4 linked regions of the Drosophila melanogaster genome follow. The protein of the gene in region 3 interacts with the protein of the main gene of each other region in a pairwise test. Each region holds a gene or a part of one and is shown on either strand. Other genes may lie near its edges.

The links.
Region 1: the proteins of MCPH1 (region 3) and danr interact in a two-hybrid assay, tested with the Drosophila melanogaster proteins (one large-scale study listed by BioGRID).
Region 2: the proteins of MCPH1 (region 3) and TwdlC interact in a two-hybrid assay, tested with the Drosophila melanogaster proteins (one large-scale study listed by BioGRID).
Region 4: the proteins of MCPH1 (region 3) and TwdlF interact in a two-hybrid assay, tested with the Drosophila melanogaster proteins (one large-scale study listed by BioGRID).

What each region holds. Positions count from the first base shown.
Region 1 is NT_033777.3:25,135,747-25,141,575, forward strand, and holds danr (distal antenna-related), read left to right. Parts: upstream 1-2,325; 5' UTR 2,326-2,486; coding exon 2,487-3,746; 3' UTR 3,747-4,157; downstream 4,158-5,829. UniProt on the Drosophila melanogaster protein: Probable transcription factor with a role in the retinal determination (RD) network. Regulates ato expression and is required for normal R8 induction and differentiation.
Region 2 is NT_033777.3:26,991,978-26,997,660, reverse strand, and holds TwdlC (TweedleC), read right to left. Parts: upstream 2,830-5,683; 5' UTR 2,728-2,829; coding exon 2,592-2,727; intron 2,377-2,591; coding exon 1,430-2,376; 3' UTR 1,219-1,429; downstream 1-1,218.
Region 3 is NT_033778.4:11,900,112-11,906,407, forward strand, and holds the start of MCPH1 (microcephalin), read right to left. Parts: upstream 3,808-6,296; 5' UTR 3,663-3,807; coding exon 3,470-3,662; intron 3,428-3,469; exon of another isoform or gene 3,353-3,427; coding exon of another isoform or gene 3,301-3,352; coding exon 3,054-3,300; intron 2,730-3,053; coding exon 2,508-2,729; intron 2,440-2,507; coding exon 2,247-2,439; intron 1,284-2,246; exon of another isoform or gene 877-1,283; coding exon of another isoform or gene 1-876. Other genes in the region: Zip48C (Zinc/iron regulated transporter-related protein 48C), read left to right, coding at 1-876; reb (rebuf), read right to left, coding at 4,729-4,733, 4,795-5,167, 5,284-5,935, 5,998-6,155, 6,229-6,296.
Region 4 is NT_033777.3:4,244,229-4,249,384, reverse strand, and holds TwdlF (TweedleF), read right to left. Parts: upstream 2,366-5,156; 5' UTR 2,325-2,365; coding exon 2,301-2,324; intron 2,242-2,300; coding exon 1,201-2,241; 3' UTR 1,072-1,200; downstream 1-1,071. Other genes in the region: TwdlG (TweedleG), read left to right, coding at 1-194, 368-534.

The sequences.
Region 1 (5,829 bases), on a different chromosome or scaffold from region 3:
AATATACTCACAAGTAAATTTTTAGCAAACGGAATCTTCACACTCACAGTCACCTTCATAGCGTATTCCATTAACTTTAATTGTTTTCTAATTTTACAAAATGTCGGTGATCATTATTCGAATTTTAATGAATGGTACAATAAGTTACTTAAGACTTACACTAAGTTACAGAATATATCGCTGAAGGCACTGGCAAACGAAGATTCCATTATATCCACGCACCCATCAGATATTTTATTTGCCGCCAAAGAGTTAATATTATTTATTTATTATTAAATTGATTGCATTTATTCCCATTGATGCCCCCGAATAGTTATCTCTTTTTAGTTTAAAGTTAAGATAAGGCATGCAGTATATATTAAGATATATACTTATATGGGTATGTGCATTTGACGTATGCGTTCAGAATTAGTTTAATAAGCCTTCGACTGAAACAAATTATGTATATAATAACAATAAAGTGTATGTACAAAATGTAAGGGCTAACTGCCAACATAGGTTATGTATATATTTAAATTTGTATGTATGTATAAATTGAGACTTAAAATAAATACCGTTTCCTCATACTTATACTGCAAATACTTATAAATCTAATGCAATTTGATTTTTCCATTAAATGTGCACTTATTTTGACTTTATGTATCAGAAAGAGTATCTCAATGCGGTATGTCAACAAATTGTTAATTTTAATCGATAATTACGATTTGAGTACGCTTGCAATCGTTTATTTATTGTGTAGGTTTCATATTTAATTTAAAACAATCCATTCATTTTAAAATACAGTTTTGTGACAAATAAACTTGAATGAAAATTGTTTAATAATAAATAATGATATAGTTATAACATACAGCAAAACGGAAATTAATCAATACAAGTAGATGTAATCTAATAAATTATAGTTAATAGAAAATTTATTTAAATATGTGTAAATCAAACATAAATACTAAAGGCTACTTACTTTCTAAACTGTGTCTTTTAATAACACAATAAAAAAGTATTAAAAAAGGGATGTGTGATATTATTTAAGGAGAATATTGAACGGATTAGCATTTCTAAAATGATTATTTTAAAGTGTACTTAGCCAATTTTCGCAATTTATAATATGATTTGGTATATTTACCAGGCTGAAAGCTTTTAAAGCAGTTCTTCTTCTAGAATGCTGATAGTTTTCTCGAGATTGAAAGCTTTTGTTATTTTTTCTTTAGTGGACGGCGCAGACGCATTAATAGTTTAAACAATAATTAAACGACGAGATTCATTGAGACATTATAATCCATTTTAATAACAATAACAGTGTTTGACAGCATATACATAGTTCTTTGGATTAGGGGTAGAATCAAAGAATTACAATTAGAAAGGTGTTCCAACAAAGGTGTTATGTACATTACGTACGTTTTTAGTATACAGTCGCAATCAAAAAATTAGAAGTGATCCATAAATAATATATTTATATGAATTACATCGTTTTATGAAGGTTAAAACAATTTTGTGTGCGAATAATCATCAGCAAAGAACTATGCAAGTTCTCCATATAAGGTATGTGCTATTCTTTTATATTATTGTACTTCGTGAGCACTTATACATATAAATAAAAATATTTAAAAAAACGCAGTGAATTCAAAACTTGTGTTAATAAGTTTAGCCTGATCACCTTTTAGTCTATATATTTTCTATTATCTTCATAAGATAAGGGTGCAATGAAAATATTTACCACAAATAACGGACAAAGAGTACTCATGGAAATTAGTGCAAACACACAGATGGAGAGTGCAAATAATATAGAGTGGAATTGTGTTATTCTCGGTAGATTCGCAACCCAAAAGTGCAACCAGGTCCACGTCCGTATCAGATCCGCTCACGCACATGCGAATGCGAGAAGGTTGGCCAAATACACGCACACACACTTTCGCAGGAGGGAATGTTTATGGGAGGTAAATAACTGGTTTTTATATAAACACACGGGCACATACACACACACACACGCAGCCACGTGGAGGAGCCGATTTGGAAATGTGCATCCTGCATGCTGAATATCTAGATCCACAACACCACCACACACATACGCAGCCCGCGAAGAGGGACGCGAATGATGGTCAGGACATCAAACCCGTTAAGAGAGCCGAACAGAGCGAATTTCGTGAGCAGGACATGAGTAACAAGTTGTTGCACTGGTGGGTGGTGGGTGCGCGCGCGAGAGAGAGAGAGAGAGAAAGGTGAGAGTGGCGCTTTGCTCCGATTGGTCGAGAAAAAGCGAGAAAAACGTCATGCCGTTCTCTTCGCCGCAAAATCATCGGATCATCTCGGCGGTCGCCGTTCGCCTGTCGCCGTTCGCAGTTCGCAGCTCGCCTTTCGCGGAATCGGATTCACAATCACATCCTTCTGCGAGTTCGAGGAGTGCACACCGGTGGTCGCATCCGCAAAGTCCGCGCTTCGAAACCGCTATCGTAATCGCAATCGCTATCGCCAGCGCAACCAGAAATAGAACCATGGATATCTCCGCCTACCAGCACATGAACATCCGGATGAGCACGCGCGGCAAGCGTCCTCTGAGGAACCTCACGCCCAACGACAAGGTGCGTGCCATCCAGCGCATCCACAATGGTGAAACCAAGGCGAGTGTGTCGCGGGACATCGGAGTGCCGGAGTCCACGCTGCGTGGCTGGTGCAAGAACGAGCAGAAGCTGCGCTTCATGTGCCGCCAGCTGGGCCCCGATCACCTGGGTCTCGACACGCCACCGGAAAAGCGCGCCAAGTTCGAGCTGCAGCTCCAGCTGCCACCGAAGTTCGTGGCACTGCCTCCAAACTACGAGGAGCTGGGCTTCGGTGCACTGCCCTACAGTCCAGCCGATTACCCAGTGCAAAATGAATCCCTGCTGGAGAAGCTTAGCCTTGTGGAATTTGTAAAAAAGAACGGTGGATTGCATCCGGAGGGTGCACTGCATCCGGGTCAGGCCGGCGTGATGGACTACTCCAACAACATGCTGCACCAGCTGAATCTTCTGGCCCTGCTCAACTCCAAACTCACCCCACAGACTGCCGATGTCCTGGTAGATGCACAGCCGAAATCAGAGGACAACAAAGTGATTGATTCGCCCGCTGCTTCCGAGGATTACAGCAAAAACAATTACCCCTTGCTGAGTGTTAAGAACTGGGCCAAGGATCCGGCCAAGCGGGTGAACTCCGCCAATCAGCCGGAGCAAGTGAACGATAAGAACAACAATGCCCTGGAGGCCAACAGTTCCGCACCACAAGCTCTTGTCACGGAGCAGGCGAAGACTCCCATGTTCTCGGACACCACAATGCCCCTACTGCCAGCACCCTTCCCGAATCCTGCGGATCTAGCGCCTGTGATAGCACCAGTGACTCCGGCAAACGCCCCGCCCACTGGAACCGATAACCAGGGAGCGGCTCTGCTCGACTGGTGCAAGCTCTTCAATGCCAGTTTGAACTTCCTGGCCTTCGCTGCGGCCGCAGCCTCCATGCAGCCCGGCGGCGGAGGACCAGGTGGACCCAGCTACAATCCCAACCAAATGGCCAGCGGCGGATCGGAGCCGGATCTCGAAACATATCCTTTCAACGAGGCGCTACTAAAGCGACTGAGTCCACTGGCGCACAGTGAGGCCTCCAACGAAAGCTACTGCGACAGCGAGCCGGAGGATCTGTCCGTGCGCTCCTGCGCCTCCAAGGCGTCCAGCAGATCCCACACTCCCGACAAGAGCGTCGGGTCCAGCGACGCCGAACAGTAGACACCCTACATTATAGCATAGTTGTAGTTGTAGTTCATAGTGTAAATACATCCATTTTTATTGTTATTAGCCACCTTTAGTATTAATGAAACTCGAATCATTTCGCAATGCAAATGCCATTTGTACTTATCAATTAACGTATTAATATCACTGCAACAGGTATTAATAGCTCAGCATACTATAGCTAGTATTAACTAGGAATATCAACTGTGTGACTACTTGTTTGAAAGCCAAATTCAATTCATCTACACGTATTATAACAAATACTAATTGTGTTAAGTAGCTTAATTAGTTGGCACATTTTGTCAGCCATTCCAATCGATTTGTTTTATTACTGTGTAATCTGCGTAACTCTCAAATAAGCATATAAACTAATTACTAATGAAACGAATAAATATTTATTAACAAAACAAAATAAAATTCAAGTGTCAATCTCTCAAGATCAAAACATTTTTTTACTTGATGGGTTTTCAATTACAGCGGTTAGAAAAATGGGTCAATTTTCTACCTATGAAGAAAATGAAAGTCTTACCCGCCAAAAGGCTTATCGAAAAACAGGAATTTTCTATAGAATTAAAGTATTTAATTATAACAAAACTAAATTAATTCATGTGGTTTTTATTTAAAACGTTCGCAAGTTAAATAAAACTTACAGGCATTTGCAAGAAAAACAAATAGTCAACTTTTTACCCATATTTTAAAAATATATTTCATTAAACTAATTTTAAATTCATTATGCAAATTAAACACAAATCGATTGAATCTTTAAGTTGCAAACAAATAAAAACTTGAAAATGCTAATGAATCCTACTTTGAATTTCCATTAGAAGTAAAACTCTTTTACCAAAAAGCGCCTTCATTGGTTTTTTGCCATTTATTTTGTAGGGATAAATATTAAACTTGGCATGCAAATGAATACATGTATGTGCCGAAGCACATTCCATATTCTATATGATGAAAGGGAAGCATCATTATAGGTGCCATAGATGGAGGTCAGCAGTCAGCAGAGGAGTTTGGGTCCTGGCATCTGGGCTGTGCGTTAATGAGTCCTCTTCCTGTTTTCCCTGCTCCTTTTACCCTGCTCCTGACGATTGGTGCCTGGAAAGCGTTTTCGGAGGCATCGGTCATGCCGAACACGAAAAAATGGCACCATGGCCAGAGGAGCGGCCCAAGAAGCAGAAGGAGCGGAAAGAGCAGCCGCCACGGATGGCCATCCAGCGGCATGAAGACGAATTATTGGTTCGCCTTTTGGAAAAATTAAATATCGCGTGTTGGTAATTTCCGCTTGGCTTCCCATTGCCGCTGCCATCGGGTGAAGTTGAGGCGAATTATTACGATGATTAGGCGACTGACAGTGCTCCCAGGCATCGGCATCCACATCCACATCCACATCCATATCCACATCCACATCCACGTCCATGTCCATGTCGACCATCCGGCCTGCCAGCCGTGATCTGTATGCATGTTTCGCTCCGCATTTCGCATTTCGCAACTCGCAGCCCGCAACTCGCATTTTCGCATTTCGCATTGCATGTGTTGTGCGCAGCGTTTTGTGGACATCTTCGTGGCATTCTGGTTTTGGTTCTGGGCGAGGATTAAATTACTCCAGCCAATCCCCTGGGCATATCGACGGATCCAGCCGCTGTCAATATTGTGTCGCCTCGTAACCCGCACGATCCGATGTGGATCCGATCGCGGTACTAGGACCAGCACACAACACACATCACACAAGTGCCCAAAATAAGTGGTCATACCCATGGACAGGTATTGTTTCTCTACCAGGAGGTAAAGTGCACTCTATGCATATGGAAAGCCGCAAATAAAGGTTATTGGTGTTCGATTTATAGGTAGTATATACATATGCAATAAGAATGAGCAACTTAAAACTAGTTATTATAGTTCATAAACTAGTATTATTTCAGCTTCACAAGTTTCCACTGGCCAAAGAAGACGGGTATACATGTCCTTAAATTTTGGGATAAAAGAAAGAAAAGGAGTGTTTTGAGATACTGTTTAGGATCCTTTTAAGACGCCTATATTAACATTTTAGTATCGCACTACTGAAAAGTTCAATGCACCCCCG
Region 2 (5,683 bases), on a different chromosome or scaffold from region 3:
TAAGGATAATGCAATTCAAATTTGTTGAGAAATTTCATTTTTATCAGTTTTTGAGTTAAAGTGACTGGCTCGTGTCCTGATAAATCTAATTAGGCACATCAGCCAGGTGTTACCAAAATATATTGACTATAACAGGAATGTTGGTCTAAAACTCGTCCGTGAAATATAGTCATGTGTCGGAAGCTAATCCCCACCAGAACCGAACCAGCGACCAGATGTGTGAAACACAGCCAAATGCTAACAAGCGGAAACAACAAGCCATTTGCCGGCGGAGAGGACAAGCTGATTAGCAGGTAAACAAAGCTCATTACAACTCACCTGGTGCAGCGAGGCACTGAGATTGGACTGGAGCTACCCTCGAGGGGATTGCACGTCGTCGAGACTGCCAATGTCAATGCCAATGCCAGATGTAATGACCTGAAACAATGGCCCACAATTTCACTTGCAATCACTCACTTTTCGTATTGCGTATACGCACTGTTGGACGCGTGATTAAAGTCGCAATTCATTAATTGTTTACCGTTTACCGATAGTGTTTTCGCTGCTTATGACCACTCGCTAAATTGAATGGACCGAGTGTTTTCAATGGGCTTATAAGTTTGAATACGTTGAATACGCTAACCAGACGGAGACGACCGACATAAAGTGAAGGAACACGCCCACCTACGATGCGACTCGCGCGAGCACAGAAAGCGAACTGAGTGTGCAGCCGGATTTTTCATCCGGACTGACTGATCAAACGGCCACGAAACTCGGGCACGAACCCGAAAGGCAGTTCCTCGTACTCCTTTTCCCGGCTTTTCCATCCACATGTTGCAACATAGCTCTGCGCAGGCAGCAACTGTTGCTTTTGGCGGGAAGTCTCAGCAACATGTTGCTCCGGCCTCTTCCCTCTAAGTGCTTTGCCATTTTGGCCATTACTTTACGATTTTTCTATGAGCACAGCAATGAGGAAAGCCGTCGAAATTGGGCCTACAGCCGAAATCAACAAAACGTAACGCAATTAAGCAGGCTGTAAATTTGCCAAGGTCACGACTTCACACAGGGTCAATTATCATATTAGGCGGCATGAGCCATCATTAAATCATTGAAATGCGAAATCCATTGTTGTTCCACTGTGTTTTATCCGAATTAACTGGACCATTTACTAAGCTTAAAGAAAGTGTATAAAACTTTTGAGGAATATTCCACACTAAAAGGCCATTTAGTTTTTTTTTTATAAATTTGATATTTATTATCTACTCTTTATTAAAACAAATGTAACAAGTTATACAAACGAACAAACAACGAGATGTGCATGTGGGGAGGTTTGGCACGTGTGCATGTGTGAATTGGGAACAGGGGATTGGGAAGAGGTGCATCCAATGGACATTAGACTATGACAAACTGTGAAATTGGCTAAGGCATCACCATCTCAAAGCAGCGGGCTTCACTTCAGCTTCTTAAGGAAGTAGCGGTTGGGAGGACCGTAGCTGGTGGCAGGCACATGGGAAGGAGCCAGTCGCTGCTCGGGCTGTTCCTCCACCACGATGGGCGCCATTGAGGGCTCCTCAATGGCCAGGGCGGCGGGAGCGGTGGCAGGGGGCAGATACTGGTTGGCAGGAGCGGACAAGGTGGTCTGAACCTCCTCACCAGTATAGGCAGCTGCAGTGGGTGGTCCGTAGACCGCGGAGGGAATGGCTGGCTGCTCTACTTCCGGCTCGGGAGCAGGAGCCAGGGTGGTGGGTGGCAGGACATCGGCGACCTCAGCCAATGGAGCGAAATCCTCGGCGGTGGCCTGACGGGGCTCCATCTCTGCAGGTGGGGGTCCATAGACGGGGGCCTCGTCCTTCTTGGTCTTGTACTTGATGAAGTAAACCTCTGGCTTCGATGGCTTGGTGGGTGGTGGCGTCGGGATCACGATATCTTGCTCCTGCTCGGGCTTCTTGTGCAGCACATAGATCAGAGTCTTCTCCTCATTCTGGGGTGGTGGTGGCACAACTGGCTGACGGATAGCCGGAGCAGATGGTGCCTTGATGAACACGATCTTGTAGTGCTTCTGCTTGGGTCCCTGCTGGTGGTGAACTCGGGTCTGGATGGCATCCTCCTCCTCGAAGTCCTTTGGCGGCACATGGACGTAGATGTGCTTGTGCACCTTGGTCTCCTGGGGGCCATTGTTGTAGCCACTGGCATGCTGCACTCCGGACAGGCGGTGGGCCATGTTGTAGCTGTCATCGTAGGCATTCAGGGGCTCAGCGGCGGCGGCAGTGGGAGCCACTTGCTCGATGGCATCCAGATGCATTTGGGGTGGCAAGTAGGTCTGCTGGGGCGGTGCAAAGTTGGCAAACGACTGCTCCTGGGGCAGAGGCTGGTAAATCTGCGGGGGAACGGGGTGAGCTGTCCAAAAAGAAAGATTAATAAGATTAAGATAAATATATGGAGTTAATATATCTACATTTGCTGAATTATATTACTATAATCAATGTTTAATCTAATCTTTAATAGTTGTCATGCTCATAAGACTTTAGCAAAAATCTGTGTCACATAAATAGCTTTAATCTTTTTCGCTTTAATTTCCTATAATGTTTCTATTTCATCCTCCGCCCACTTACCATTGAGTGGCAAAGCCCGCTGGCTCTGCTGCTGAGGCAATCCGTGGTAGGAGTACGGGGATGGGGGCTCAGGACGACCCAAAGTGGTGGCCACCAGGGAGGCCACGCACACAACGAACAGCGAGGAGACACGCATTTTGCTTCTGGTAATCGGAAATCCTTTGCTGCTTAGTAAGCCCGTAATCCTTTGGCTCGATGAAATGCTTCGATGGAGAAGCTCGATGCTCGACTGATGCTGACTTGGCCGCCGCGGTCCGAATTTATATGATTCGATGTCCGCAGCTCCGAGTGCTCAAAGTCTCATTACAAAAGGTAAACGAAATAAACGAAAAAATGAATTTAATTAAGCATCAAAAGAGACGCGAAGAGCTTCGGATGAACTTGGCCAAAAGCGAGTAGAAGGCGGCGCAGAGCAAAGATACGGATACGGATGCAGAGAGAAGTCTGCGACACGTGTCTTTTGGGTTCACAAGCGAGAAATTGGAGCAAACCCGTCTGCAAAACGAATCTCCCAGGAGGGGGCAACCCCATAGTCCACAATCAATGCCCTGGGCCAACGCGAAAAAATGTTTGCCCAAATCGTTATGTGTAACACTCTCCGCTGAGTATCTCGTATCTGGTATCTTGTAGCTCGTAGCTCGTAGCTCGTATCTCATATCTCGCATCTGAAAGATGCAGCAGCCGCAACCTTCGGCCAAGTGCGCCAAGTGTTATTTTCACAATTGGAGCGCACTTAAATTGCTGGCTCGAAATCGAAAGTGACCCACGATTACACACTCGACCGAGTCCCATTGATGAACTTCATTCATGTGACGCCTCGAGGAACTTGTTTGTCCAGTTTGTACTTCCTCGACAGCCGGGTCATGTGATTCCCCGGCAATCCAGTCAAGGGATAATCCATTTTTTCGCATGATTAGCAAGGAATCTAAATAGTGAACGGGAAATACGAAAACAACGTGTTGTGCTAGGACATTAAGCCAAGTATACATTAAATGTGTAACTTAGTAAATTTGTAAAACAAAGTTGCAGGTTTATTATGCTTTCAGCTTTAGTATTTTTCTTTATAATTATTTCTACTCATTCTTAAGTATCATTAAGCTTCAATGTTGTCTCATTGCATATGGAACTAACAATAGTTACTTTAAAAGATCCCAGTCATTGCATACAATACAATGCATTTTAACCCATTCTTAAACCCTAACAAATTCGTTTATAAACCTATAAATACACGCAGTCATCAGACCAAAAATAACACAATAACGAAGGGCTTTTCAAGGCCAGTTCCAAATTTCCCCCGAACTGTCAACCGTTGACGGCGGACACTTTCAACACCTACGATAACAATTACGAAACAATCGTAACAAAATCAAAATCAAAATCAATTTTCAAATTGAAGCCAAACATTAAGCGTCGAAAACGAAAACAATAAGTAATAAAACAAAACAGCAGCTACCCAAATAAAGTGAATAGCGAGCGGCATTTAATTGGATTTGCTGCACACAGCCATTGGTTCGAAAGTAAATAGACCGCCAGTACCCACTATCCAATACCCAGTAACCAACCAGTAACCAGCTGAATCGAGACGCTTGTCCACTTGCTGTCCACACACAGAAATCATTAATTGTAATTGCAGCCGACGCATCTCGACGCAGCGAGGTGGAGAAATGTCGAGTGGCTGTGCGGACACATGTAGCTTATGGCTATAACTACATCGACATGGCTATAAGGCGGCACAAGAAGTTGGGGGGCGTACGTAATGGCAACAGGGTTTTGGAGCTTTACGTCACCGTTCGATCGATTGGAAATTGGTGCACTTGGCCACCGAAGAAGAAGCCTAACGAGTCAAGCGCTGTCAACGGGAAGAAGGGTCCGGACTCAAAAAATAAAATCAGGGATGCAACTTAATTTAAACATATACATAAGTAAATAGTACATTGAAACATGGCATAGAAATTGATAAAATTGTTCAAAAATATCAGTAAAAATGTGCAAAATTATCCGTAAACGAGGTCAAAATATAGATTGTCATACCTTGCTGGACTCGTAAAAACATGCTTAATCGTTTGGCATTCAAGAATGAAAAAAAAATTTTTTGTCAATTTTTGCGAAAAATTACGATGTTACCCCTTATAAAAAATGGAAAATTTTGACAAAAAATTTAATTTCTGGAATCAAATCAAAAGTGATTGCGTTGGTTTGCTGAGGTCTTTAGCTCTCTAAAAAGGTGTTTTTCTTAGCTGTGGCTGCCATTTTGGCCGAGTTACAAGCTTAAGCCCATCAAATGTATAAGTACAAAAAGAAAAACTTGGTGAAAATCTGATCTTTAGTGATGAGATAAAAAAATTTGACAAATTTATTTAAGGTAAATTATATTGACTACAAGAACAGTTTTTATTCCATCCCTGGTCAAGAGAAAGACCAAAGGAGCTGCCGCAGATTGTGTCATCAAGGGTTCGAAATTTGGTGAAAATCAGGTCAACAGTGCAGTAGCACGTCCATCGATGAGTTATTGATTTGTGTCGAATACTCGATCTCCTGCCCTTCTCCTCGTGGCATTGGCTTAGTCTTGTTTTTCGATGCCCTTCGATCGCTTCAAATTGACATTGCCGGGGAGCTGCGTCCCTCTTGGGGGGAATTTCCATCGCAGCAGCTTAAAATAGACGAAGCGACCGGGGATGCGCCACTTGACTTGCCACTTGTTGCATTCAAGTGCCACGAACAGCAAAAGCCATAGAAGAAGCACAGCGGCCAACACGAATGGGGCAGATACTTTGGGGCTTTGTCATTGAGATGTGAACCCACAAGTCGATTAGTTGGCCAATGGCAGTGAAGAGGCGCATTCCATCGCCAGCGAAGAATGCGTAGGTCACTTGACTTAAAAACGGAGTAGAAGCAGCTGCAAACCTTGTGGTGGATATAGATACCCATCTCAGTGGTACAGAATGCCATATTATTGGACTTTCTACTTAACCGTTAACCATTTAAATCAATTTAAACCAAAGTCAGTTCATATAAAAATACCACTCACTTACAATCCCAAACCTCAAATTAACCTGAAAAAAATTTGACTTCCACATAAAGTGATTTACTGA
Region 3 (6,296 bases):
ATGATAGCAGCCTCCTTTTGGTCACTCCTCAAGCCGGCCATCGAAATGGCCGAGAGTTCCCATTTGTACGGAGTATACGCCTTTCTGCCCGTCGCTGGAGGCTTCCTCTTGGGATCGATCTTCGTCTACGGATGCGACAAATTGATGTCATACCTGGGCCTTAACAGCACCAACATGATGATCCAGATGACGCAATCAAAAGCCAAGGCGGACATAGCCATCGAGGACTCTAAGCGCAATGGAGTTGCCCCCGATAGGTTGGCCTCAAAGAGTCTGGACAGCTTCTCCGACTGCCTTAGCGTGCAGCACAGCGGCGAATCGAGACGCCGAAAGAAGGGAGCTAGCATCAACGAGATGGAGCAGTGCACCTACACCACGCCTGAGGAGCAGCAGCGCGCCGAGGACGCCCTGTCCCAGTGGAAGAGGATTATGCTTTTGGTCGTGGCCATCACGGTCCACAACATTCCAGAAGGGCTGGCTGTGGGCGTAAGCTTTGGTGCCATTGGCTCCACGAACTCATCGACATTTGAGAGCGCCCGCAATTTGGCCATTGGCATTGGCATTCAAAACTTCCCCGAGGGATTGGCTGTCAGCTTGCCACTGCATGCCGCAGGATTCAGCGTGAAGCGGGCTCTGTGGTACGGACAGCTGTCCGGAATGGTGGAGCCCATTTTTGGAGTTCTGGGCGCCGTGGCGGTGACCTTTGCCAACCTGATCCTGCCATACGCCTTGTCTTTTGCGGCCGGAGCCATGATATACATTGTGTCGGACGACATTCTGCCGGAGGCTCATGCCAGCGGAAATGGAACGATCGCCACGTGGGGCACTGTATCCGGCTTCCTGATCATGATGTGTCTGGAGGTGGCGCTGTCGTGAGGAACGAACGGCTCGCCTTCGCCCGCCTCGCAGATTTCATAATCTAGTGCTAAACTCAAAGATTCCACTGTACTTAACGCAAAACTCTGCTGTCTTGTAAATAGAAGCATGCTGTGTACAAATCTCAGAACCAGCCCTAAACGAGAATCTAATAATCTAGCGTAGAGTGTAAGTTTTGTAGAAAGAAGCTTGACAACCAGCGATGCCGCGACGACATCCGTGCAATTGTGTATCTGTGCACACGTATCTGTACAGCATTCCCAGCGAGTTATGTAAATGAACTGTTCTAGGAAAATTTGTAAACAAACGTGCATGTGAATTAGGTTTTAAGTTGTCACCGGCGTCCAGTAGCTTGTGTCTTTTTTAACCGTCTAATGTCTAAGTAATAAACTAAACGAATTCAAATGAACATCTCTCAGTTGCACCCACTCGCTTTTTTCCCTCACAAATGTAGCTGTCTCCGTCCGGACAACTTCCTGACCGTTTCTTTGGCCGTACGATAGCTGATAAGGGCAAGTAAATTCACTTAGATAACCCGGAGTGCCAACAACAACAACAGCTGGTTGACTCGCTGTCAGCCAGTGATAAGTGATAAGAATCTGTCCGACACGAAGAGTTCCCAATATTGCGCGTATTCCGTGTTTGAGATACGTGCAGTTTCAGACGGCCCGCGGTCCTGCGTTTCTGTTCGCCATTTTCTGGATTAACTAATCATTTCAGATATGTATGTTTGTACTCGCACAAGTGCTTTGGGCCACAGTCCACCCACTGTGATCGTGGTCATCAGGAAAAGTGGTCGATAAGACCTCTTGCCGGCTATCTGTTGTACAATTTCCATATAGTTCTTTATGTGCGCCATAAAACCATAAACTCGGTATGAATGGCCTATTAGTTGGGGGCATATCTCAAGTGGAGTTAATGCTTCTGTGTCCGCAATGCCATAAATTGATAGTGTCAACGATTAGACTAATTAAAGACCTATTTCTTTTGTAATCGAAGTGTAAGTTAAAGCTGCCATTTCCAACCAAAATGTAATGCAGAGTTGATGAACTCGAAAGTACATTGTCGTCTTAGATCTGATAAAGCTTTTGGGAAGTTGTTAGGCCTAACAAATAATGATATGATAAGAATATTAAAAGTTGTATGAAGACCTTGATAAGTCAACTTTTAATATCTACGTACATACAAGCCTATTTTTGCAATGTGTTATTGGGTATTTTGCAGTGAGCTTAGTATTATGAGAAGGCAAGCTAAATTATAAAGCCGAATGGTGACAATTAAAAGTTATCTTCTTAAGCCCCATTTATCCCCATTTGAATATATAAATAAGATCGATGATGCAACAGAAGCCACAATTAGTAATAACTTACCGGCATTTTGCCAAAGAGCTCGGGATACTCGTACATGCGTATATTGCTGATTGGAAATTGCTTGGGATCGCATATTTTCAGCTGCACCTTGCAAGCTTCAATCCACAGAATGGAAACGACTGGTATATTCCACTCGGTGGCCTTTTTATAGGTGGAGAGCAGGCCATCCTTGAAGACAACGTGTGTGGTGGTTCTACAAGCCAAACGAAAAATGTTTAATTGAATATATTTTAGTCAATCAATTGTAATCCCTTAGCTTACCGCGTTAGGCGATCTTTGACCTGGGCTCCCATCTTGGCAATAATTGATTTTACGCCCTCAGAGCGATTGTCGTTTCCAGTTCGCACCTCCACATATACGACTATGTCCTTGAGCAACTCGGGGAGGGAGGGCGGCTCCTGGGGATTGCGTTCTTCCATCGTGATGATGCTTTGTTCGGCTAAAGGCACATCGAAGGTATTGTATGCCGACTTGGTGGGGCTTCTAAAAATGTATACAATGTAAAAGCGAATGCATTTTTTTTATTATGATCAGTTTCTTCTCAAATCAGATTAGATTGCATTGCAAAACAATAATTAATAATAATAATAATCAATACTTGGTTTTGGCAAAAAAACCTGGCTTGTTAATATAATAGTTATTGATGGATATGGAATTATTAGGGATTGCATCTAAAGAATCTAACTTTACAAAATTAGCGATAAAATGGCTATAAAAGGATGGATTAGTCAAGAATCTGAGCTGTTTTCACTAGTTGACCTTTAGGTTGTATAAATAACAATTGCAATAACCAATTTTTGTCCTTACTTTAATGCACGAATGGCGCGTAATCGGAGTGCAGCGTTGGGGCTGTTGAGATCTTGCTGCAGTCGGGCCCAGTGTCCTTCCTGCCTGGTTGGCGTGGCTGCTCCGATGGGTGGATCTGGTTTTGCTGCAGATCCTTCTGCTCCCGCCTCGTTCTCGTCCTGGTGGAACTCGGAGCGGTGCTGGCTGATCGCTTTGGAGACGGCTAATGCCGGCTTGAGCATCAGCCGATCCCTGGCCGCCTGGTCATCTAGCAGGAGGGAACGCAACTTGTTAGTAATGCTCGGTTCGTTTGTCGACATGGTAATCTGTTTTTTTTTTTTTTTTTTGAATACTACGAATTTTGGGTGAGCTACGTATCCGGAACTAAAACTACTGGGTTGGGTGTTCAAAATGTAAAATAGGCATGCACAGCCAACCTGCCGGGGCCTGGGATAGAGATTTGGGAGACGGTGCCGCTGCTTTGGACCTGAAGTCGCCCAGATTTGAATCGTGCAACGGTCGGCGGGTCGATGACGCCGCTGTTTTCTTGGCAGCTGCGGCGGAACTGGCCACGACCGATCCGTACGTCTTCGTCTTCCACGTGGGATTGCGCAACAGAAACTTGTCCATGGTCACGGGCTATGTTCTCCGCACTCTGGCGCTCCTTATTGCAATGAAGTCGGTCGCAAAACTCTGCAAAAGAGGCGCCAATAATTTTCTAATCCAAACCTCACAAAAAGTGCAACACAATGTGATAGTGTGACCGGGTAACCTCAATGCTACAAGATCACTCACTGGCAATCGGTTATCGTTCTCACCGAAAATCGATTGTTTTTATATGGTCTCCGTTTAGTACATTAAGATTTTAGTTCGATGACGAATTTGGCGGCATTTTATTATGTATTTAATTTAGGAGACAAAAAATCTTGTGATAGCGCAGGTTTACTTTTCACCACCAATGTTTATCTTAGAAAGAGGCAAAGCAGTTTAATAAATTTTAAGTTCCGATATTTAAACACAATTAGTAAATGCAAAAATGTCGGAAAATATATATAGATATAGATATGTTTAAATGTTCTCGTAAATGAAAATCAAACTACACACAATTATACAAAATACCTTTATTATTCAGTTTCAGCAGCGTAGATTGTAACCCGTTTAAAGTAAAACACTTATATTGACTTTCATAACTCTTTTTTAATGCGTACTAATATCGATTACATGTTTTTAATTTGATCTTATTTACATATGAAGTGTATGTACAGAAAAATAATAAGAAAATAATAAATTGAACTTGCCTAAAGTAGCAATTAATTTGCATATGACATTATCTGCCCCCATCCTGAATCTCAGCCAAACTCTCCGTGCGCTTATCGTGGGCTCTAGGACATTCTCTCAGTCTTAAACGATTTAAGAAACTATGGCAAAATTTTAATTACTCATTACAAATTGCATAATCATTAAATCTCTCTGCTTGACTTAAAGTTAACTGCGGTTAATTAGAGTTAGTGCGTATTAAGTGACGTACGCTAAATGGCTGCATTTCGCTGCATTTATCACAAAACTGAGCGAAATGCACTCCACAGTGATCCAGTGAATCGATGATCCTTCACTGACCAAACTTAATCGTAGGCTTTGACTAAATAATTTTAGAATTAACGCTAGACGATGAATAAATTAGGGCCAGCCAAAGTGATCATTCTGAAATGGCGAAATGTTCTGATTAACTGAGATACACTTAACAAATTAAGTGGTCACTTACCATGTGCGCTGATCAGACTACGTGCATCCCAGAGGGACATTTGCGACTGGGAGAGACGGTGCTGCGGTGGATACAGTTTGTAGGGGAAGTACGAGTGGTGGAATGTGGCAATGGGAATGGGTTGCGCCGGCTGCAGGAACTGCTGTTGCTGGTGCTGTGCCGAGATCTTCCGCGAGATCTTTGGCTCCTTCTTGGGCTTGCTGGCTCCTCCAGGGCACGGCTGCTTCGAGGACTTGATGAAGTTGGGAATACGCGCCAAGAGTCCGCAGTAGTACGGATCATCCTGCTTCTTCCGCTGCTGCGACCCGCTGCTCTTCTGTCGCTTCTTGTCCGCATATATGGGCGTCAAAGATCCGCCAGATTCGTAGTCGGGCTGCAAAGTGTAAAAAGCAAATAAGAATTATTAGGCTAAGTTTTTTTTCCCAAACAGGTTAAAAGGTTTGAAGTCCCAAATTTTTCAGGTAGAATGTAATCTAGGTTAGAACCCACCTTGGGCACATATGGACCCTCGTTGAGGAAGGCGGCACTAAAGATGCTGCGCCGTCCCTTGCTGGAGTTGCTCGAGTGCTGGGAGTTCTGGGAATCATCCGACGCGGCGGGCGTAGGATAGATCAATCCCACTTGGCTTTCGATGGTGGAGTATGGATCCTCGCTGCTGTTCGTCAGCGGCACTCGCATGCCCATCGCATCCAGTGACTTGGGAATCGTTTGGAGGCGGCTCCTCAGCATGTCCATGGCCACCACGTTGACCACGAGTATCCAGACCGGAGAGTTGATAAGATTGTTGTTCGACTTGACAAGCGATACGGCGGACAGGCACTGCCGTTCCAGTCTTCCGCGCTCCGGATAAGTGCGGGCAAACTCGCGGTTTATGTTCGTCTGGAACTTCTTCATATCAAAGAGTCGAGCGGAGGTGGCCGCGGTGAGGGACATCTGCGGCATTTGGATTATGTCGCCACCGATCACCGTCTCCTCGTTGCCCTGCGATGTGCTGTTCACGTAGATGCTGCTCTTGCCATACCGCTTGATGAATATGTTGCCGGTGTCGTCCATTTTGATCTTGAATCCATCGCCGATGGACTTTTTGATCACCTTCGTCTCCGCATCGCGCATCGGATTATCGAAGCCATTCAGCCCAATACTGTGGATTTAGCCATATTAAATAAGTTGTTCTTAATAGTCAAATATTAAGTTCAAACTCACCGCACTCCATCGAATCCATTCTTAGATCCATTTATGGTTATCACAGAGGAGCGGGCGTAGGCCTTGGCCACTCGCCGATTTTTCTCGAAGACAATTATCTTGGCCCAGATCTCGTCGTCGATTTGCTCCCACTTGGACAGAACCTCGTTGATGTGATCCTGCGTGGTGTCAATAGGTATGGATAATGGATGAGCTAGAGATCAAATGAGTTATAATGGACAGGAAACGCACCCTGAAGAGCTTTTCGCGATCGTGCCAGACGTCTTCCTCCTGCTCTTCCTGCCCGATGGCATCCAAAT
Region 4 (5,156 bases), on a different chromosome or scaffold from region 3:
GGCGGCGTTGCGCATCAAACAGGCTCCTGTGGAGGAGAAGACCATCATCTATGTGCTGACCAAGAAGCCGGACCCACTAGATCTCCAGACTGCCATCGAGGAAATCGCGCCGAAGCAGCCCAGCAAGCCAGAGGTATTTTTCATCAAATACAAGACCCAGGAGGAAGCTGCGCATGCGCAACGTACCATTCAAGGTGAGCAACACCCGCATCGAGCAGATGCTATGAGACACACTTGAAGACCTCATCAGTATGCAACAGACCTCAAATGTTTCGATTTGCAAGCTTCATAGAAATGTCTATCGACCAATTAATCTGGCTTGTCCAAATTTTTATTACCCGATTTTTAACCGATTTACTTCTTTTAGCTCAATATGACCAGCTTGGCGGAACATCACAGGTTTCTGACGAGGGAGTTGCACCCGTTACATCCGTGATTGGCGTACTGGACAACCAGCGCAACAACGGAATTTCATCCGGACAGTTTTCTGGCTCCTTGCCAAACAGCTACTTGCCAACTAATCTGCGTGCTTAGGTACAACTCCAAGGCCACTGTCGTAATTTTAAGACTTGAACTCTTGTAATTTACACATTTAGTTAAATAAAGTTCATATTTTGAGCTCCGCCTTATGATAGAAAGCGACTCTGCAGCCATATTCAAATATGAAATCGAGTTTCAATACTTCAAAGTAACAAAATAGTTTTCTATGGACCATGTTACCACATCCATTAGTCCAATGACAGCCATCCAAGCCGAAAACCGGTCGCATAAATTAGCATGTGATTTGACTTACATAACAACGATTAAGCCACACGAAAACTTGATTATTATGGCTGTTGGCTTAATGCCAAAAGAGATGGTCCAAACTTTCTTGCGAGAAAGAAGTCATTGTCATAGTCTCTTAGCCCATTGAAACATTTTTGTGATAAAAATAAACAGCGTTTTCATAAGAAACATTAAACTCAAGCTATGCCTTAAATGAAAGATTAATTCCAAATCCTAAAACAAAACCTATCTAAAATATTAAAAGGATTAAACTTAAAAACGAGTACTAGAAACAGAAGGCTTTTTGGGTTTCGATTTAAATTTTTTTATATTTCTTTCGACTTTCGACTTTTGCATTAAAAATAAATTAAAATTTACTACAGTATGATGGTTGATATAAAACAATGAAAGCGATAGGATTCTTACTACAACTTTTTAAAAAGTCTTTGCCGGCACATACTTCCTTGATGGCGCCGAGGGAGCGAATGAGGAGGTGGACTTCTGCACAAAGGAGCTCTGCTGCTGGACCCCCTGGACCCCCTGGTTAATAGACTGCAGCTGAACAATGGGCTGACCCTGTGGCTGGATAATGGTTGGCGCCTGAGAGTGGATGATGGTTTGGCCAGCTTGGGAGTGCTGGGGCACAAAGCTGCCCAGGTTAAGGGAGCCACTCGAAACGCTGGCGATGGGAGCCACTCCCTCGTCCGAAATGTGGGTTGCACCTCCCAAGGCGTCGTACTGGGCCTGGATTTCCTGCTGGGCGCGCTGGGCCTCTTCCTGGGTCTTGTACTTAATGAAGTAGACCTCCGGCTTTTGAACCTTGGCCTCAGACTGGGTAACCTGCAGCTGCTGCTGGATCTCAGTGAGATCGGGCTTTTTAGAGAGCACGTAGATGACGGTCTTTTCCTCGTTGCTTGACTGGGCCCGCTTCAGGGCCGCGGCGGTATATTTCAGATTCTGGGAAGGCGCTTTAATGAAGACGATCCGGTAGTTCTTGCGGATGGGCACATTCTCCAGAAGTGGCTCGTCCTGCCGCAGTTCCTCATTCTCCTCGGGGGCGGAGTGGATGTAAATGTCCTTGGTAACGATAGCGGGGCGCTGGACGAACTGGGTCTGAAGGGCTTGCTGCGGTTGCTGCTGGTACACGATTTGCTGAGGCTGCTGCTGCACAGTGCTGATCAGGTTTTGCTGGGGCGAAGCAGTAAGGAAAGTCTCCTTTGGGAGTGAGATCGACAAAGGAGCGGGAGCGGGGGCGGGAGCAGGAGCGGCAACGATGGTCTGCACGGCTTGAATGGCTGGCTGGACACCGATCGCGGGCTGAGCACCGGCCTGTGGGAAAGATGGGACGGCGCCACTTGCGTATATTCCACTTGACGAAATGGGTGTCAGAGGACGAAGATTGCCAATGGGAAGGGCTGGCAGCTGAGGTTGGTACTTGTATCCCTGAGGAGCTGTTGCTGTGAGGGCCACCAGGCACTGCAAGAGCACATTAAGTGTTAGTTGTTGCGGGGATCGCTCATGTGCCAGTTGCTTACCATTAGAACAACGAACTGCTTCATTTTCACTTTGAACTGTCTGAGCTGCTAGGGTCGAATGATGCCCTGCCTTCCCATTGCTATGTTTTTATATCTGTCCAGGCTGGCATCGTTTTCCCAATAAATGAAAAAATTATTAGGCACTACCATAAATCGTATGAATCTATTATAGACTTCACAACTTCGAATATGTAACGTTTCACATTGGCGGTTGCCAAATCACAGATCCGTGTGCGCAGATGCACTGCTTGAACAGTCCGGGATCTTATCTAACTTGGCGACCAACGCTGCGTTCAAATTTAAATAATCGCTTGAGATCCCCATTGTCAACGCTGAATATATTTATATGCAAAATATTAATAGGTAAAGCGGTTCGATTGACAAAACTGGGATAATATGAAGAAAGTAAGTTTTATGGACGGAAACCCAATTTATACACATTCATGACCAAAATTGTGGGAAGCGATCTATCTGCATATAAAATTCGCTTTGTCGCAGATGTTGTATAAATGAATTTGTTATTAAACAAGTCTTTTCAAAAATGCAGAAAAACCAATAAGCTCAAAGATATTTGTGAAAATATGCTCAGTTCTTCAGAAATATAGCACTTCATGGCTTGAATCCAACCTGGAATCATGCTAACAATACTATTGTTATGGGTAATGCTTTTACTTGCTAGTTCAATTGTTTTCTACTTGCACAACGGTAATTGGAAATAATGGGCAATAACGGTAATGGAAATAACGGACAGACGTTCATGGCCAGATCGACTCGGCTATTGATCCTCATCGAGAATATATATACTTTATATGGTTGGATCTGCCTGTTACATAATTTTCAACGAATCTAGTATACCCTTTAACTCTACGAGTAATATAAATATTCTTATAAAGTGTGGTAAAGCGAATTTTGGTCGGCAGTTGAGCGTTAATTAGGCGAGTCGATGTTTTTAAGTTTCAATCGAAAACATTCCAAAAATCAAGTTTTCATTTGACGAAATGAAATAAATTGCCCGTTACTCAGCTAGAGGGAGTGCGAACGAGTAATCGCAACATTTTTTGGGCGGTTTGTTAGCGTTAAAGTGGAGGCAAAACAACATGCCAAAAACCCATCGAAATTGGCAGGAAAAAATTAAAAATATGTTATTTACAATTTTGAACAGTGTGGCAGCTTTTGGCGATTTGTGGGTGTTTGATCTAATCCATCCAGCTTTTATAGAACAGACAGACATGGCCAGATCGACTCGGCCATATGAACGTCGAGATCTCAGGAACTATAGAGGCTAGAGAGTTGAGATCATGTACATAGACGCAGCTTTTTGCCTTGTTAAATTTATTAAATTTTTCCTCAGTTTATTCTCCAATATCTATCGAAATACCAGAAAAGTGGTGAATTGATCTGAGTAACGGGTATCTGATAGTCGGGGAACTCGACTACAGCATTCTTTTTTGTTTTTTGTTTTTACGACTATTAAATACCATAAGTAAGGGGAATTTTATGGCCTGTACAGTTTTGTCGGTACAAAAAACGTTATCTAAGCATGCATAGAATTAAAAATGCCGTTATGTTTTTTAAATAAAGTTGTTTAGCACAAATTATTATTATAGAAAAAACAGATTATCATTGATTCCTATACATATTGTGGTCCCCGTGGCACATTCTTTTTCACTACGTGGACTACGTCCGTAATGATTGCATATAGTCACGGCTAATCTCCTTTCCCGGTAACACGACATTGAAACATAGTGTTATACCAAAGGCACTAATGTCTTCGGTTATATCTTATACTGATTATTTTGCGTTTAAACTAATACTTTTCATGAGAAGGTGGCAAGTACGGGCTTGTCGACGGTGCGTTTACCTTGCGAACGAACGCATTCCCGTCGTCAGTTCCACTTGAAATGACCTTAGACGCAAAGTCCAAGACGGAGACCGAGGCTCCACCGTTGTAGTTGGTTGAAACTCCCGGTAGCAAGTCATACTGGGCTTGGATAGTGCGCTGGGCGTTCTTCGCGTCGCTCTGCGTTCAATACTTCACAAAGTGAACCTCGGGCTTGCGGTTTTTGTTGTTGTTACGGATAGTATTCAGGTTGGTGATCCACTTGCCAATGTTCTCCTGCTTGTTGAGCACGTAAATGGCGATGCGGTCGGCGGACGCGGAGGTGGCCAGCTGGAGCGCCGCCTGCTCCAGTCCCTTGTTATCGGGATCCTTGATAAACAACACAAGCACGTTCTTCTTTATCAAGTGAGCGATCTGCTCGTTGGGGTGGTCATCAAATTCGTGCTCTGGAGCACTGTAGGTGAAGAACTCCTTGGTGAACTCGCTGGCGGGTGCTATAGCCTTAGAAAGCTGGGCGCGCCAATCAGTCCTCCGTGACCATTACCGGCATACGATACTGGAGTGTAGTCGTACTTCCCTCGCGCCATAGGAAAGAGGCTTAGAATCTGAAATTGTTTGATGGTTACACAAAGTGCGGAATAAATGCTTTGTGTTCTTACTAGAAAGATGCGCATCGTGAATACTTGTATCTACTTGTGGGTGGCTAAATACATTTTTTGTGCGGGCAGTTCGGCAGATGGGTTTCCTTTGCCGAAGATTACATTTGGTCGACGCTTTTATACGTTACTGTTCCAGTGGCTTTTCTGATGCAAGCAATCATTTGTAAGATGGAGAATATGCAAATCTATTGAAATTAGGGAGACGTAGGCCTATTTGATAATTCAGCCCATTTTCATTGCATATTATAGAGCAAATAAGGAAGAAGTAACATTATAAATTATAACAAAAAGCTTTGAGAGTTTGTGCGGACATGCCATATAAAATGTTCTCCTAGTGTTCTTTGTAATGATAATTTA